Macaca fascicularis: one gene and its partners. The protein of the gene in region 1 interacts with the protein of each later gene in a pairwise test. Links are inferred from orthologs where the notes say so. Each region holds a gene or a part of one and is shown on either strand. Other genes may lie near its edges.

What was found.
Region 2: the proteins of ADAMTSL4 (region 1) and MAPKBP1 interact in binary tests that used the Homo sapiens proteins (3 or more experiments, as listed by UniProt). The two-hybrid records come from large-scale screens. The link is inferred for Macaca fascicularis from reciprocal best matches to the Homo sapiens genes ADAMTSL4 and MAPKBP1.
Region 3: the proteins of ADAMTSL4 (region 1) and PRKAB2 interact in binary tests that used the Homo sapiens proteins (3 or more experiments, as listed by UniProt). The link is inferred for Macaca fascicularis from reciprocal best matches to the Homo sapiens genes ADAMTSL4 and PRKAB2.

What each region holds. Positions count from the first base shown.
Region 1 is NC_088375.1:110,701,355-110,705,667, forward strand, and holds the start of ADAMTSL4 (ADAMTS-like protein 4), read right to left. Parts: upstream 2,914-4,313; 5' UTR 2,823-2,913; intron 2,567-2,822; exon of another isoform or gene 2,414-2,566; intron 2,165-2,413; exon of another isoform or gene 2,025-2,164; coding exon of another isoform or gene 1,810-2,024; intron 1,809-1,809; coding exon of another isoform or gene 1,699-1,808; intron 1,697-1,698; coding exon of another isoform or gene 1,533-1,696; intron 1,531-1,532; coding exon of another isoform or gene 1,332-1,530; intron 1,330-1,331; coding exon of another isoform or gene 1,259-1,329; exon of another isoform or gene 1,124-1,258; intron 166-1,123; exon of another isoform or gene 113-165; 5' UTR 4-112; coding exon 1-3. UniProt on the Homo sapiens protein: Positive regulation of apoptosis. May facilitate FBN1 microfibril biogenesis.
Region 2 is NC_088381.1:18,364,060-18,368,428, forward strand, and holds the start of MAPKBP1 (mitogen-activated protein kinase-binding protein 1), read left to right. Parts: upstream 1-1,446; 5' UTR 1,447-1,573; intron 1,574-1,887; exon of another isoform or gene 1,888-2,127; 5' UTR 2,128-2,236; coding exon 2,237-2,350; intron 2,351-4,369. UniProt on the Homo sapiens protein: Negative regulator of NOD2 function. It down-regulates NOD2-induced processes such as activation of NF-kappa-B signaling, IL8 secretion and antibacterial response. Involved in JNK signaling pathway.
Region 3 is NC_088375.1:113,062,316-113,066,566, reverse strand, and holds the start of PRKAB2 (5'-AMP-activated protein kinase subunit beta-2), read right to left. Parts: upstream 2,906-4,251; 5' UTR 2,860-2,905; exon of another isoform or gene 2,600-2,859; 5' UTR 2,577-2,599; coding exon 2,421-2,576; intron 1-2,420. UniProt on the Homo sapiens protein: Non-catalytic subunit of AMP-activated protein kinase (AMPK), an energy sensor protein kinase that plays a key role in regulating cellular energy metabolism.

The DNA of each region.
Region 1 (4,313 bases):
CATCACTCCCCCCTCTACTGCCCCAGGGCAAGGGAGGAGCGGACTGGTCACAAAAACTACACAGCCATCTGGGCAGGCATCTGGGTAGGCATCTGGGTGTGGAGGGTGCTCTCTGCAGGGACAGAAGCCTGGTGGTTACCTCTCCAGTGTCCAGAGAGCTTGGGGCTGGGAGGACAGATCAGAGTGGAGGAGGTGGTGAGACTGGCCCACCCCTTTAGGATCCTCAGGGTGGGAGCAGGGAGGATCACTGCCTTGTCCATCTGTAGAGGCTACATGGTCGGGGGCTGACCTCAGCCTTCCAACTAAGGCTCAGTCCCCACCCCTGGGCCCTGTAGGGGCTTCTTAGCTCCTCCCCAAATCCTACCTAGAGACTGTTTCTAGGCCGGCTCAGGCACACACAAACGGCTTTTTTTTTTTTTTTTTTTTTTGAGATGGAGATCTCACTCTGTCATCCAGGCTGGAGTGCAATGGTGCCACCAAAGCTCATTGTAGCCTCAAACTCACAGGCTCTCCTTCCTCCTCAGCCTCCTGAGTAGGTGGGACTACATGCGTGCACCACCACACCCAGCTAATTTTTGTATTTTTTGGTAGAGACGGGATCCAGCTAAATTGCACAGGCTGGTCTCAAACTCCTGGCCTCAAGCGCTTCTCCTGCCTTGGCCTCCCAAAGTGCTGGGATGACAAGTGTGAGCCACCGCACCCAGCCAGAGGGCTCCTTCTAAAATGGTTGTCATCTGCTCCCACTCCTGCCCTCCCAGAGGTGCCTAGAAAGTAGAGGAGGAAGGCTCCACTGAGGATGTGCCAGACACTCTCTCTGAGGATCCACCAGAAGCCCCTTCCTCGGGTCTTCCAGAAACGAGACCTTCCCCAGACATCTCTCTGTCCTACTTGCCTCCTGGCTTTCTCTTCCCTTCTGTGGAAGAGATGTGCGGGAACATCCAGGCACATCTCAGACACTTTTGGCCAAGGGATAAGCTAAATGGGTTGACGGTTTAATCTCTAGAGAAGAAGCCCGCAATGTAACACCCACTCTGGGTGCCAGCATCCAGCACTGGTTCAGTGAGGGCTTGTTTCCTGTGCGGCTCTACCAGCTGGGGAAGCGGGAAGGAGAGGTGCAGCCAGGGCTGCCTCTTGCCCCAGCCACAGGCCTCTCATTCTCAAGAGGCAGGAAGTCCATCTGAAGTTCAGCTTTGAACACTGGAGAAGTGAGGCTTGGAACCCTCCCGAGCCACAAAGCCTGACTCTCCTTGCCCCCTTCTCACTTAGAGGCCTTCCCACCCCTGCTCCTCATCCCACTCTTGGGTCTGCTTTCCAGGAAAAAAAAAAATGTTTCTGTTGGATCTGAAAGGCACCCGGGAAAGGAATCCAGGGAGCCCTCAAATTGCTGAGGTGGGCCAGCTCTGGGGCAGAAAATGACCAAGAGAAGGGAAGGAATGTGCCTGGGGGCAGACACTGCGCCCCACTGCCCTCCCTGAGACCTAGGGCTCATAATTTGAGGGAGGGGTCAGAGTGGCTGAGCCAGAGCGGGCGTGCCTCACGGTTTAGGGTTGGGGAGGGGGTTGCCGATGGCCACTCCTTCCCCTGGCTGGGCCGGCCACTGAGGTCAGCAACTCCGCCCTGACTGAACGGGGGAGGCCAGGGTCTCCAGAGAAGGGCCCATGTTCCACCCAAGTGTTCAGGCTCTGCCTGACTCTGTTACTCTAGCTGAGGGAAGAAGAAAGGGGGTGATGGTCACTGCCGGCCCCTTCTCTGATGCCGACCCCTCTCCATGCCCTCTCTGCCTCTGTTTCTCTCTGCCACCCAGATCTCACCGCCCCTCTCCACGGGTCTACCCAGTACACATAATCCCGTCCCGAGCTGGGTTTGGCCTTGGCAGTTCCCTGGAGAAGTGAGGGGTGGGGGTGACGTGAGCTCCTGGGGCCCGGGCCAGGCCTGGCTCCCTCTCTGGAAAAGTCCCACCCCACCCTCCCCTGCGCAGCCCGGCAGGGGCCCATGCCCCCTCCTCTGCAGAAACACACGCACATTTGTGCTTCTCACCCCTTTCCATGTGCCTCATTTGGTGTCGTTCACGGCCCAGGACGGGGAAAGGAGAGGTCAGAGGTTGGTGCCAGAATAGACCCTGGTCTGGACAAATGTGGGCTCCTCCGGACCACACCTCTCCACACTGCCCAGTGAAAACCAAGGAACAGAGACCTGAGCAGGGCTCACCCCTTCACCCCCAGGTCTCCCTGCTGGAGAGTGTGGCTCGACCCTATGTTTCTGGAATAGCCACAGAGAATCCCTGTCCTGAGTCCGAATTCCCTGGCCCTCATGGAGCCCTCCACTCCTGGGTCTGGCAGGCCACCCCAACAGGTGTCTTTCTTTTTTGTCAACCTCTTCTGTCATCGGACTGAACTGGATCAAGGGCACCCACCTGCGTCCCTCGCGGCGACCCTGTCCTCCAACTCCAGGAGTTGCAGTAGGGGGGCGGGAGGCACACCGTCCGAGAGCACCCTCCTAGGGAGAGGGCAGGAGGCGCTGCCCGCGCGGGGAGGTCGTGGGTCTGTTTTCCAACTTCGCTGTGTGACTTAGGAGGAATTTTGGCTCACTCCTCGCCCGGGTGATGGGGCCAGAGTTCCACGGGATCAGACCCCCTCCCCAGGAATTCGACCCCAGGGGCTGGAAGATCGTCCGAGGCCACCGGAGCTGGGGCCGGGGTCGTGGCGGGGGCGCGACCGACCGCACAGCGCAGGGAGAGGGGACGACGCGGGCGCGCGGGGCTGGTGGTCTAACGGGACCCGGGAGAGGGGCGGCCGGGGCCGGGGTCTCGGGGAGGTCTCTACCTGCTCTGCGCGCCCCGGTGGCCCGTTAACCCTTCTGCACCCGGACGCTCTCTACAGGCAGCCTCGCTCCGCGGCGGCCACTGCGGCCCCTGAGCCGCTCTCCGGACACCGCCGCCTCGGCCGCGACTCCGCCCTCGCGCCCGCCCCCGCCCCGCCCGCCACGCGCCCCAGCCCGCGCCCCTTGGCGGTCCCGGGGTGGGGACGGTCGGCCTCGCAGTCCCGCTCGCCAGGACCACCCACCCCGGGCTGCGCGCCGGGCGCCCCCGGTCGGCTGCGTGAGCAGAAGCCCGGGCGGGCCCAGCCGGGGTCGGAGGCTGCGGTCGCTCCCGGGCGCTGTCCTCGTGTCCGGCTGGGATTAGGGACTTAAGCAGCCCGGGCCTCCGAGTGGCTCGGGTGAGCGGTGCGAGAGCGGCGCGGCGCGGGCGGCCTCCAGGGGCGCCTGGAGCTAGGCGGCCTGGGAGAGCCGCTGGTCCGGGAGGGCGGCGCCCTGGACGGAGGTGCCCGCGGCCCCGGATCCGCGTGGGTCCAGGCTCTCTCCTCCACGCAGCCTCACCTGCAAGCTCAGTCACTCCTAGCTCTCCCGTGTTGGGCAGTGAACCCTGTGGTTCTGATTGCTGGGACTTCTATGAGCTTCGGTTTTTCCCTCAGTAAGGTTTTACACTCGGGACTCAGCGGAAGGACAACGTGCTGACTTCTGAGTCAGAGTGACCTGGTTTTGAATCTCAGCTCCAGCACTTGCCGGCTGTGTGGTCTTCCACAAATACTTCCACCTCTGTGTGGTGCAGTTTGCTCATCTGCAAAATGGGACTAATCTAATATATGGGATGGACTTGGATATGTCTCTTTATTTATATATGGAAGAATGCACCCCAAACTCAGTAGTATTGGTGACATCTGGGGAGGGGTTCAGGGTTGGAGGAGAACTGAAAAAGGCTTTTGCTTTTTACTCTGTGTTATGTTTATTATTATTATTCGAGACGGAGTCTCTCTCTTTCGCCCAGGCTGGAGTGCAGTGGCACGATCTTGACTCACTGCAAGCTCCGCCTCCCGGGTTCACGCCATTCTCCTGCCCCAGCCTCCCCCGTAGCCGGGTCTACAGGCGCCCACCACCACGCCCGGCTAATTTTTTGTATTTTTAGTATTTTGTATTTTTGTATTTTTATATTTTTATAAAATATATTTATAGTATATATTTATACTATTTTTTATACAAATATTTTTACAAAAATTTTATACAAATTTTATATACAAAATATATTTATAGTATTTTGTATTTTTAGTAGAGACGTTTCACCGTGTTAGCCAGGATGGTCTCGATCTCCTGACCTCGTGATCCGCCCGTCTCAGCCTCCCAAAGTGTTGGGATTACAGGCGTGAGCCACCGTGCCCGGCCTCTTGTTATTAATATTATTATTATTGAGACGGAGTCTCATTCTTGTCGCCCAGGCTGGAGGGCAATGGCACGATCTCGGCTCACTGCAACCTCCACCT
Region 2 (4,369 bases), on another chromosome or scaffold:
AATAAATGTGAAAATCGTATTTTATGTTTCATAATATTTGCAGTTGCATGGTTGAAGGGAAGAAGGGCACATGTTATTGCCAGTTGGCCTTCCAGGAGATGACATCCATCATCTCCATGTCAACTTGTGGGCTTTACAAATCTCATTTTTAGTATGTGGCTACAGTATACACAAGCACATATGTGCTTTGCCACTTGGCTGTACAAGGCTCACCATTGTACACAAGCAATGAGTTTAGGGGTTCTTCCCTCTTGCTATCACATGTCTTCTCCACAGGGCTGCAAAAGATCTGGGTAGGGTGAGACAGACAGACCAGTGTAGTATTCCCTTGGGTCCCTTGTCTTTGGCTTAGGCTTTTTCATAAGGTATAATAATTTCTTAGAGGTTCTTCCCTCTTGCAGACACATGTCATCTCCACAGGGATTCAAAAGATCTGGATAGGGTGAGACGGACACACCAGTGTACTATTCCCTTGGGGCCCAAGTCTCTGGGTTAGGCTTTTTCATAATTTCTTATGGTAGTAAGTGGAGAATACAGAGGAAATACATATTTCATGTAACATTTCCGTGTATTCCCTCTGCCTCCAACGACATGAGTTAGAAAAACTACCCCTCGATCTAGTATCAGCAAGCTCGACAGTGACCTCAGCAAGGAACAGCCCTAGAGAAAAGGATTCACAAGTAAATGGAACGAGGAAAGATCTGGAGCAACGAAGTGCTGCTGGTCAGCTTTAGCTGAGGAAGCACAATGGGACGTCGGAGGCTAAAGAAACCATGAAACCTGCAGTATTATTAACATAGCACATTCACTTGTCTTCTCTTGCCCCTGCACGCCCAAAGCTCTGTTCGAGGCCACCCTTTCCCCTTTCATAATGACCAATCAGGTTGCCCAGTGCAAAAACACTATTAAATTCTTAGCTATTAAATTGCGTTATTCAGAATAATCCTTTCCACGTTGAGTCTACGTGCCGGACTGGCTGCGAGCAGAAACTACTTCAGGCGCTTTAAATCTCAACACTTGTGGTCGCTGGCAGCAGAGCTCTTAGGCTGTAGCTCAGTCTTGTAATTCTGAGCTACGAGTTTCAGCTACGGTCCCTCGGGCCTATCAAATGGCAACCTTAACACTCTGGAGGCGTGGTTATCGTCTTGGGGCTCTGGGAAGTGCAGTTACATGGGGGACCAGGCCTGATAATACCATAAAAGGCTTGGTTCTCTGAATTCTGAAGCCATGTTCTGTTGACCTTCCTCTAAAAGCGGTACCCGCAATTGTGCGGATTCCGTGGTTCTCTAGTCCCAAGCCGTCTGCTTCCTGGGCCCTTTCGTTGGCTCCGCCCCCGTAAATCTTGCTCGTCCACTCTGGAAGCGCTCTCCTGACTACAGGCCGCGCCCCTCGCATCGGCTCCGCCCACCTGGCGCGCAGCTTGGCCCAGGCGGTAGTTCGCGTTTTGAGCCGATCGTGCCACCATAGCTCCTGCTGCTGCCTCTACCACTGCCGCTACAGCGGCGGAGCTGAAATTGCCGAACGCGATGCCCGAGGGCGCTGTGAGCGGGGTGGCCCTCGCTCGCCGAGGCTGGTGAGGCTGGCCCGAACGGGGGCGCTGACGAGTAGCAGGGGCCTCAGAGGCGGGTGAAAGATAAAGGTCCAAAGCCGCTGTGGAGGGTGGAGAGCGAGCTCTGGAGGATAGGGAGTGGGGGAGGGAGGCTCCCGCGGCAGAACGAGTTGTGGGCTGCGGCGAGCCCCGCCGCGCCGAGTCCCCACCGGCGCTAGCGCAGGTGTCCAGGCCTGCGGAAATCCCTGGTGGTCTCGGCGGCCTCCTCCGTTGGACTCTACAGTTGCCATGGGAGCAGTTGGGCATTAACGGGAACCAGATCGTCCACGAGACCAACTAGGGCCCATCCCATCCATCTCGCCAGTTAAACGCCTCTGGCGGGCGTGGGCCTGGCATTTCTTAGTGGCTTAGGATTTCCCCCCTTTTTCGTGAGCCTTTCCTTCCGACGTTGCAAGAAACTGTGCAGGGCTAGAAGGTGGGGGTGAGGAAAATGGTGAGAGCAATACCCAGAGGTAAAAACTGCAGACTTCGCTAGGCAGAAGGTAAGACACTGTTATACTTGGCTTCTGCCATCTCAGGTCAGTGAGAGGGCATATTGGGAAGCCCTGTGGAGTGGGAAGACAGTGCCGCTGTTGAGACAAGACCCAGGACTGTGCCGGGGACTGTCCCAAGGGGTTTCTCGTCATAATGGCTGTGGAAGGGTCAACCATTACCAGCCGGATCAAGAATCTGTTGAGATCTCCATCCATCAAACTGCGCAGAAATAAGGCAGGAAACCGACGAGAGGACCTCAGCTCCAAGGTGAGTCCTGTTGGGAGCCACCTCTTTCCAAACCCACCCTCTCCTGCTCCATGTTCCTCGTTAACCTTCCTGTTTCTTGGTAAAGATAACTAGAAGCTCTTGTTTACTCTGAAGGATCACATGTGATCTGTGCAGGCAATTTAGGTTGAAGGAAAAAGCAGCAGGGGTGGGCATGCTGAGATTCATCCATGAGAAGAGGTGAATAGTAGGAAGGCCACCTGGGTTCAATTGAGGCCTCACTATACACTAAGCATGTGCTTGGGAAGCCAGTTGATATGCTATGACTCAGTTTCCCTTCTTGGGAAAGGACAGTAGGAACACATACCTTGTGAAGGGCTAAGGTGTGACTAATGTAGCTGCAGGTGTTAATGTAACAGCTGGGGTTATGTAAGACTGTAGTGGCAGAAAGAAATAGCTAAAACACCTAGTCAGAGTTACTGGCTTGGTAATTGCTCTTGCCTAGGGTCAAAACAAATTTTTTTTGGCCCTTCAAGAGGCTAACTGGAGCATCTTGGCTTCTTAGGAATGATAACATGCAAGAAGCCAGATATCTGTCAGCAAAAAGTTCTGGATGGCCCTTGAGCATTGCTTATCTCATTCACTATATGCCAAGGCTGCAGATGATCCTCAGAGGCAAAGTTCCTTTCCATCCCTTCACTTGTCTGGGTTTTGGTCCTTATGCTTTCTTCAACTAAATAAACCCCACAACTTTGGGAACCCAGAAGTAGACTACATTTGTTTAATCACTTGAGACCAGGGCTTTATTCCCACAGGATCAGATCAGATTTTGTGTCTTATTAGTAGCCTGTAAACACAATAGCCTTGTGAGGTACGAGGTTGTTACTGGGAGAGGCATTTGAGACCACAGCATTGTATTGCTTTGCCTGTATCTCTTCAGTGATGAGTAAATCCCATGAGGAATGATTTAGAATGCCACTGTACAACTGGCAGGGTTCTGGGAGGACTTAGTTCAGCCCTGTATTCATTAGCAGAACCTGGAGTAGGTTTGGTAAGAAGGTGAACAACTTTCCTGTATATTTCAGCAGAAGTTGTGTTGAATCACAGTTTGCTACAAGGTTTTGTGATGGGTGGACATTGTGACCCTTCCAAGGTCTCTTATTCATCATTGTTTCTATTCTCCTGAGGCAGGCAAATAAGCCTGAAATGTAGAAATTGTTTTAGATATGACTCTGTTCATTCTTAATACTGCAAGTGCTCTTATTCTTGGCTGGTAACTTGGCAGTGATCAGCACTGTTAGAACAATCTTCTCAAATCTTTGGCCTCTTTTTCTGGCCAGGAATGGTGTATGTAGTAGAAATGTATAATAAGAGTTTAGCCTTCATTGTTAATTCTTACTGTAATTTTGGTCTGGAATCCAGAAAGTATGTTGCCATTCTTTAAGACTTCCAATATCACCCATTATTAATGCATTTAACAAGTGTTTATTGAGTGCCTATTAAGTGTGCAATCAGTTATGGGTAAAACATTACCCTTGCCATCAAAGAGCTTATGGCTAGTCAGACATGTAAACAATTAAAACACAGTGTGGTTAAGTGCTGCTCTAGAAGTATGTGTACGTTGTTAATGGAAGCACAGGGGAGGCAACCTAACTCAGTTTAGAGGAATTAGGAAAGGCTTCACAGGCTGGTCATGGTGGCTCACCCCTGTAATCTCAGCACTTTGGGGGGCCAAGGCGGGTGGATCACTATGTCAGGAGTTCGAGACCAGCATGGTCAAGATGGTGAAACCTGGTCTCTACTAAAAATACAAAAATTAGCCAGGCGTGGTGGTGCACGCCTGTAATCCCAGCTACTTGGGAGGCTGAGGCAGGAGAATTGCTCGAACCCAGGAGGCCGAGGTTGCAGTGAGCTGAGATCCCGCCAGTACACTCTAGCCTGCATAACAGAGCAAAACTCTATCTCAAAAAAAAAAAAAAAGGAAAGGCTTCATAGAGGAAGGGATGCTTGAACTGTGAGTCCTAAGGCAGGTGGAGAAGAGCTCTCCAGGAAAACAGTGGA
Region 3 (4,251 bases), about 2.4 Mb from region 1:
AAAATAAACAACCCTCATCTTTAGAGGTACATCCTAAAATGTTACAGATAAAATAATATTTGATATAACGTCTGGGAATCTGCTTCAAAATAACTAGTGGGGGAATAGTGGACTGGGGTATAGATGTTATATGTTCATTCAAGATCTGATCATTGTTCAAACTGGGTGGCACGTATATAGATGTCATTATATTGTTTCCCCCTACTTTGACAATGTTTAAAAATTTCCAAAAAGTATGTAAAGAAATCTGAGGTGATTCTAATGTGCAAACAGGATTGAGAACCACTGAGCTAGTCCACTGAAAAAGGCAGGCATTCAAGCAAAGTAGGCCCCCCTACCACTGTTTCTATCAGTTACTTTTATGACAGGATTTTCAGTTTAGAATTTGAAAGCTACAAACTATTAATATGCCTAGCCTTGGAGGAAAGCCCTTCCACTTATGACATGACATTTCTGTAGTAGGAATGAATGCGGCTGACGAGCAGAAAGATTATTTACTCCAAGTTACTCAGCAAAACTACCAAGAAAAGAGGCAAAACAACAATTAGAACTACAGTTTGATGTTTAAGTAAAATGTTGAGGTTAGAAGTAAAGAGGGTAGATTGAGAACTATAAAATATTAGATTTAAATGAGACCTTAGGAATTATCTGAACTAATTTTCAGACAATCTGAAAATTATATGAATAATTTTCTTAATTCACAAATGCCAAGACTGATGTGAGAGATAAGAATAATACAAAATAGGCCCCAGTTCAGACAGAGCAACCTGGCTTTTAATCAGGACACCAATTACTGCAGTCACAGTTCAACAAATACACTGTATTTAAATCCTGAGTCATCAGCGTAGGAAAAGGGTAAAAATATAATGAGGCAGATCATCTTTCGAAAGCTTTGAATACGTAAATTCAGATGGCTTGTAGATAGCCCAAATAAGAATGGAGAATAAACACCAATAAGTGCTCCTTTTAATCACTCTCACTTCTCACTTCTCTGTGATTATGGTTTGTTTTTTTTTTTTTTTTTCTTTTGAGAGTCTCACTCTGTGGCCCAGGCTGGAGTGCAGTGACTGGATCTCCACTCACTGCAGCCACCACCTCCCAGGTTCAAGCGATTCTCCTGCCTCAGCCTCCCGAGTAGCTGGGACTACAGGCATGCACCACCACGCCCAGCTAATTTTTTTGTATTTTTAGTAGAGACGGGGTTTCACCATGTTGGTCAGGCTGGTCTCGAACTCCTGACCTCAAATGATCCAACGGCCTCGGCCTCCCAAAGTGCTGGGATTACAGGCGTGATCCACCGCGCCCGGCTGTGACGATGTTATCAATTGAGATCCAAGGAAATAAATCATGGAATCCAAATTCCACGTGCTACCAATATGACAAATAATACTCTATTCACTCTCTAAAGCCCCAGTTCCCTGGGAAGTGACGAAATGATAGGAAACATCAAACACACCCCAATCTCCTCAAGCCCTCCATTTTTCTATCTCATCCAGTCAGTCTACCTGGAGAAACTACATGTATTTCATGCTGACAGCTCTAAAAGCGATTAGAAACATTAGAATGGTAATCGCTGCTATCAGCTCCATCTGTCCTTTCTTACAGAGTGAAAAAACAAGTTGGCTCTTCCTGAAAGTCCTTGGAATTGAGAGCAAGGTCTTCAAGGCAGCTATGGATTGTCGCTTTTTAGCCACGCAACATTTTGAAGTACTACTGGAGAGTAAACAAGTCGTGGAATCATTGGCTCTTCCACCTGCGGAGCAGCAGCGGGGCGTGAAAGAGGCACAGCCTCAGCCACCACAACTATAAAGTATGGGACAAAAATTAAGCAGTCAACCAAATGATGTCCTTAATTGATCCCCAAGACTAGGGGAAATTATTCAATAAGCAAGTAGTTGCTGCTTACAGCCGTGCCAAAAGGGAAGAAGATCACAAGTGCAGAGCTGCTAGGAGGGCAAAAATGATACTGATACATAGAAATTTTCAGAAAAAGAATTTCATGTAGCCACCTCAGGGCAAAGGTGAGAAACTACCACCTATGGTCAGCAACTCGTGCAACCTACCCTCTGAAGTTGTCCACCAGGGCTAACAAACTACAAATTCAGCAACGCTATAGAGGAGAGCCACTCGTGCATGTTAGGAAGAACCAAGGATCGGGGATGTCTATTGTCCCCATCCTAAAAATGTGGCCAACAGATTAGTCAGAACACCAGGAAAACAAGAACTCCGCCTCTTTATCCTATTTTGAGGCGGCACTGCAAGAGGGATTACCATCCAACACCTCTGTCCCCGAAAAATCCTTTTAATTCAAAAAACCATAGCCCGGTTCCGCGCGGCAGAAAAGAACCAAGAAAGGGAAGAGGAGCCCGGAAATCAACCCGCTGCAGTACTGCCACCAACTGCGGGCGTGGGACGCTTACCTTGGAGTCGGGGAGGCTGAACACGCTGGGGTCGTCCGTACTGCCCACCATGATCTTGTGCTCCTTCCCCGGGGCATGACCGCCTGCGCCCTCGGAGCGTGCAGCCTTGGCACCGTGGCGCTCCCCGGACACCCGGTCGCTGGTGGTGTTTCCCATGGCTGCAGCTCGTCGGGGACCACCTACCGCGGAGAACCACACCGGGCTGGGAACACCTCAGTAGCCGCGTCAGGGGCGCCCCCCGGCCCCGCCCATACGCCTTGGGACAGGGCAAGAGATTTCCCCGCCCCAGGGAAGCCAAGCCCCGGAGCCTTCTCCCTCCTGGCCTGCGGGAATGCCTGCAAATACCCCGGTGCCCTCGCTGCCCCTAGTCAGGAAACCCGCTATCGGGACTCCCCCGCGTCCCCGCGCTCACTGCCAGGGGCGCCCCCACGCCAGTCACCTCGGGCGATGCGCTCCCTCCTCCAGGGACCACTGAAGTGATGACTGTTCTGCAGATCAGGCCACCAATAAAGTTATTGAAATTGAAGCCGCACCCCTCGCTGGCGATCAGCGATTCCTCCTAAAATGGCTACAAGGCCGGCGGCGCGGAGTCGGCCCCGTGCGCGTTCCCTGCGGCCTGCAGCCTCGGCGTCCCGGGCCCGCCGGCCTCTCTAGCCGCCGCCGCCTCGATGGTGGGCAGTCGCACGCAGCCTCCAGCGCCAGGAGGGGGCGCCAGGCAGGGCTTGTGCCGCCTGGGGAGACTGCACCCGGGATCATTGGAGCGCTGGGCCTCTGAGACTACCCGGCGGAAGGGACGTTCCAACAGGACACTCGGAGGCCGCCTCCCTGGGCTCCGGCGCTCGGTGCCGGGAGAAGCGACGCGGCTTTCCACCCCGCCTTAGGTGCGCCAGCACGTTTTCTGGGCAGCATCTGTGTGTTAGGCGACGGGAGAGGGGGGTTCCTTACAGGGAATAAGAAAACCGAAACTGACTTCCAACTGCAGGCAGAAGGAAGCAATGGCCATTGCTGGAGGTTAAAACTGTTCTGGCCGGGCGCGGTGGCTCACGCCTGTAATCCCGACACTTTGGGAGGCCTAGGCGAGCGGATCACGAGATCAGGAGATCAAGACCATCCTGGCCAACAAGTTGAAACCTGGTCTCTACTAAAAATACAAAAATTAGCTGGGCGTGGTGGCGCGCGCCGGAAGTCTCAGCTAGTGGGGAGGATGAGGCAGGAGAATCGCTTGAACCCGGGAGGTGGAGGTTGCAGTGAGCCGAGATCGCGCCACTGCACTCCAGCCTGTCGACCGAGCGACACTCCGTCCCTCCGCCTCCCCGCCCCCCCCCCCCACAAGAAAAACCTGCTCAATAGGGAGCGACAAGGAAGGAGCTGTCAGCCCGACTGGGGTCGCAGGGAAAATTCAAGATGGCGTATTTAGGAGCTAGACCTTGACAAATTAGTAAAATGTTAGTCTTAGGAGAATAACGAAAAGGCTTTCCTAGTCTAAGAAACAGCATACGCAGTGAGAAACCTCAGAAGAAATAAAATTCAAGGAAGATGGCGACAACGAAAACATCAGAAGGAACCCTAAAGGTATAAAAAAGGCAAAGACAGTCGTAGGGTTGGGAGGGATCCAGGTTTTTTATGAAAATTAGTGGAATCCCTAAGGTACTTACCTTTGTATTAGAAGTATTTGCATGTCGCCTTCTCTACTAGAAACGTTTATCTGTGTTACACAGACCAGCAGCGTTGGCATCACCTGGGAGCCTGTTAGAAATGTAGAATCAGGCCCCATCCCCAGGGTTCAGAATCTGCATTTTAACAAGATCACATTAACGTGTGTGAGAAGCAA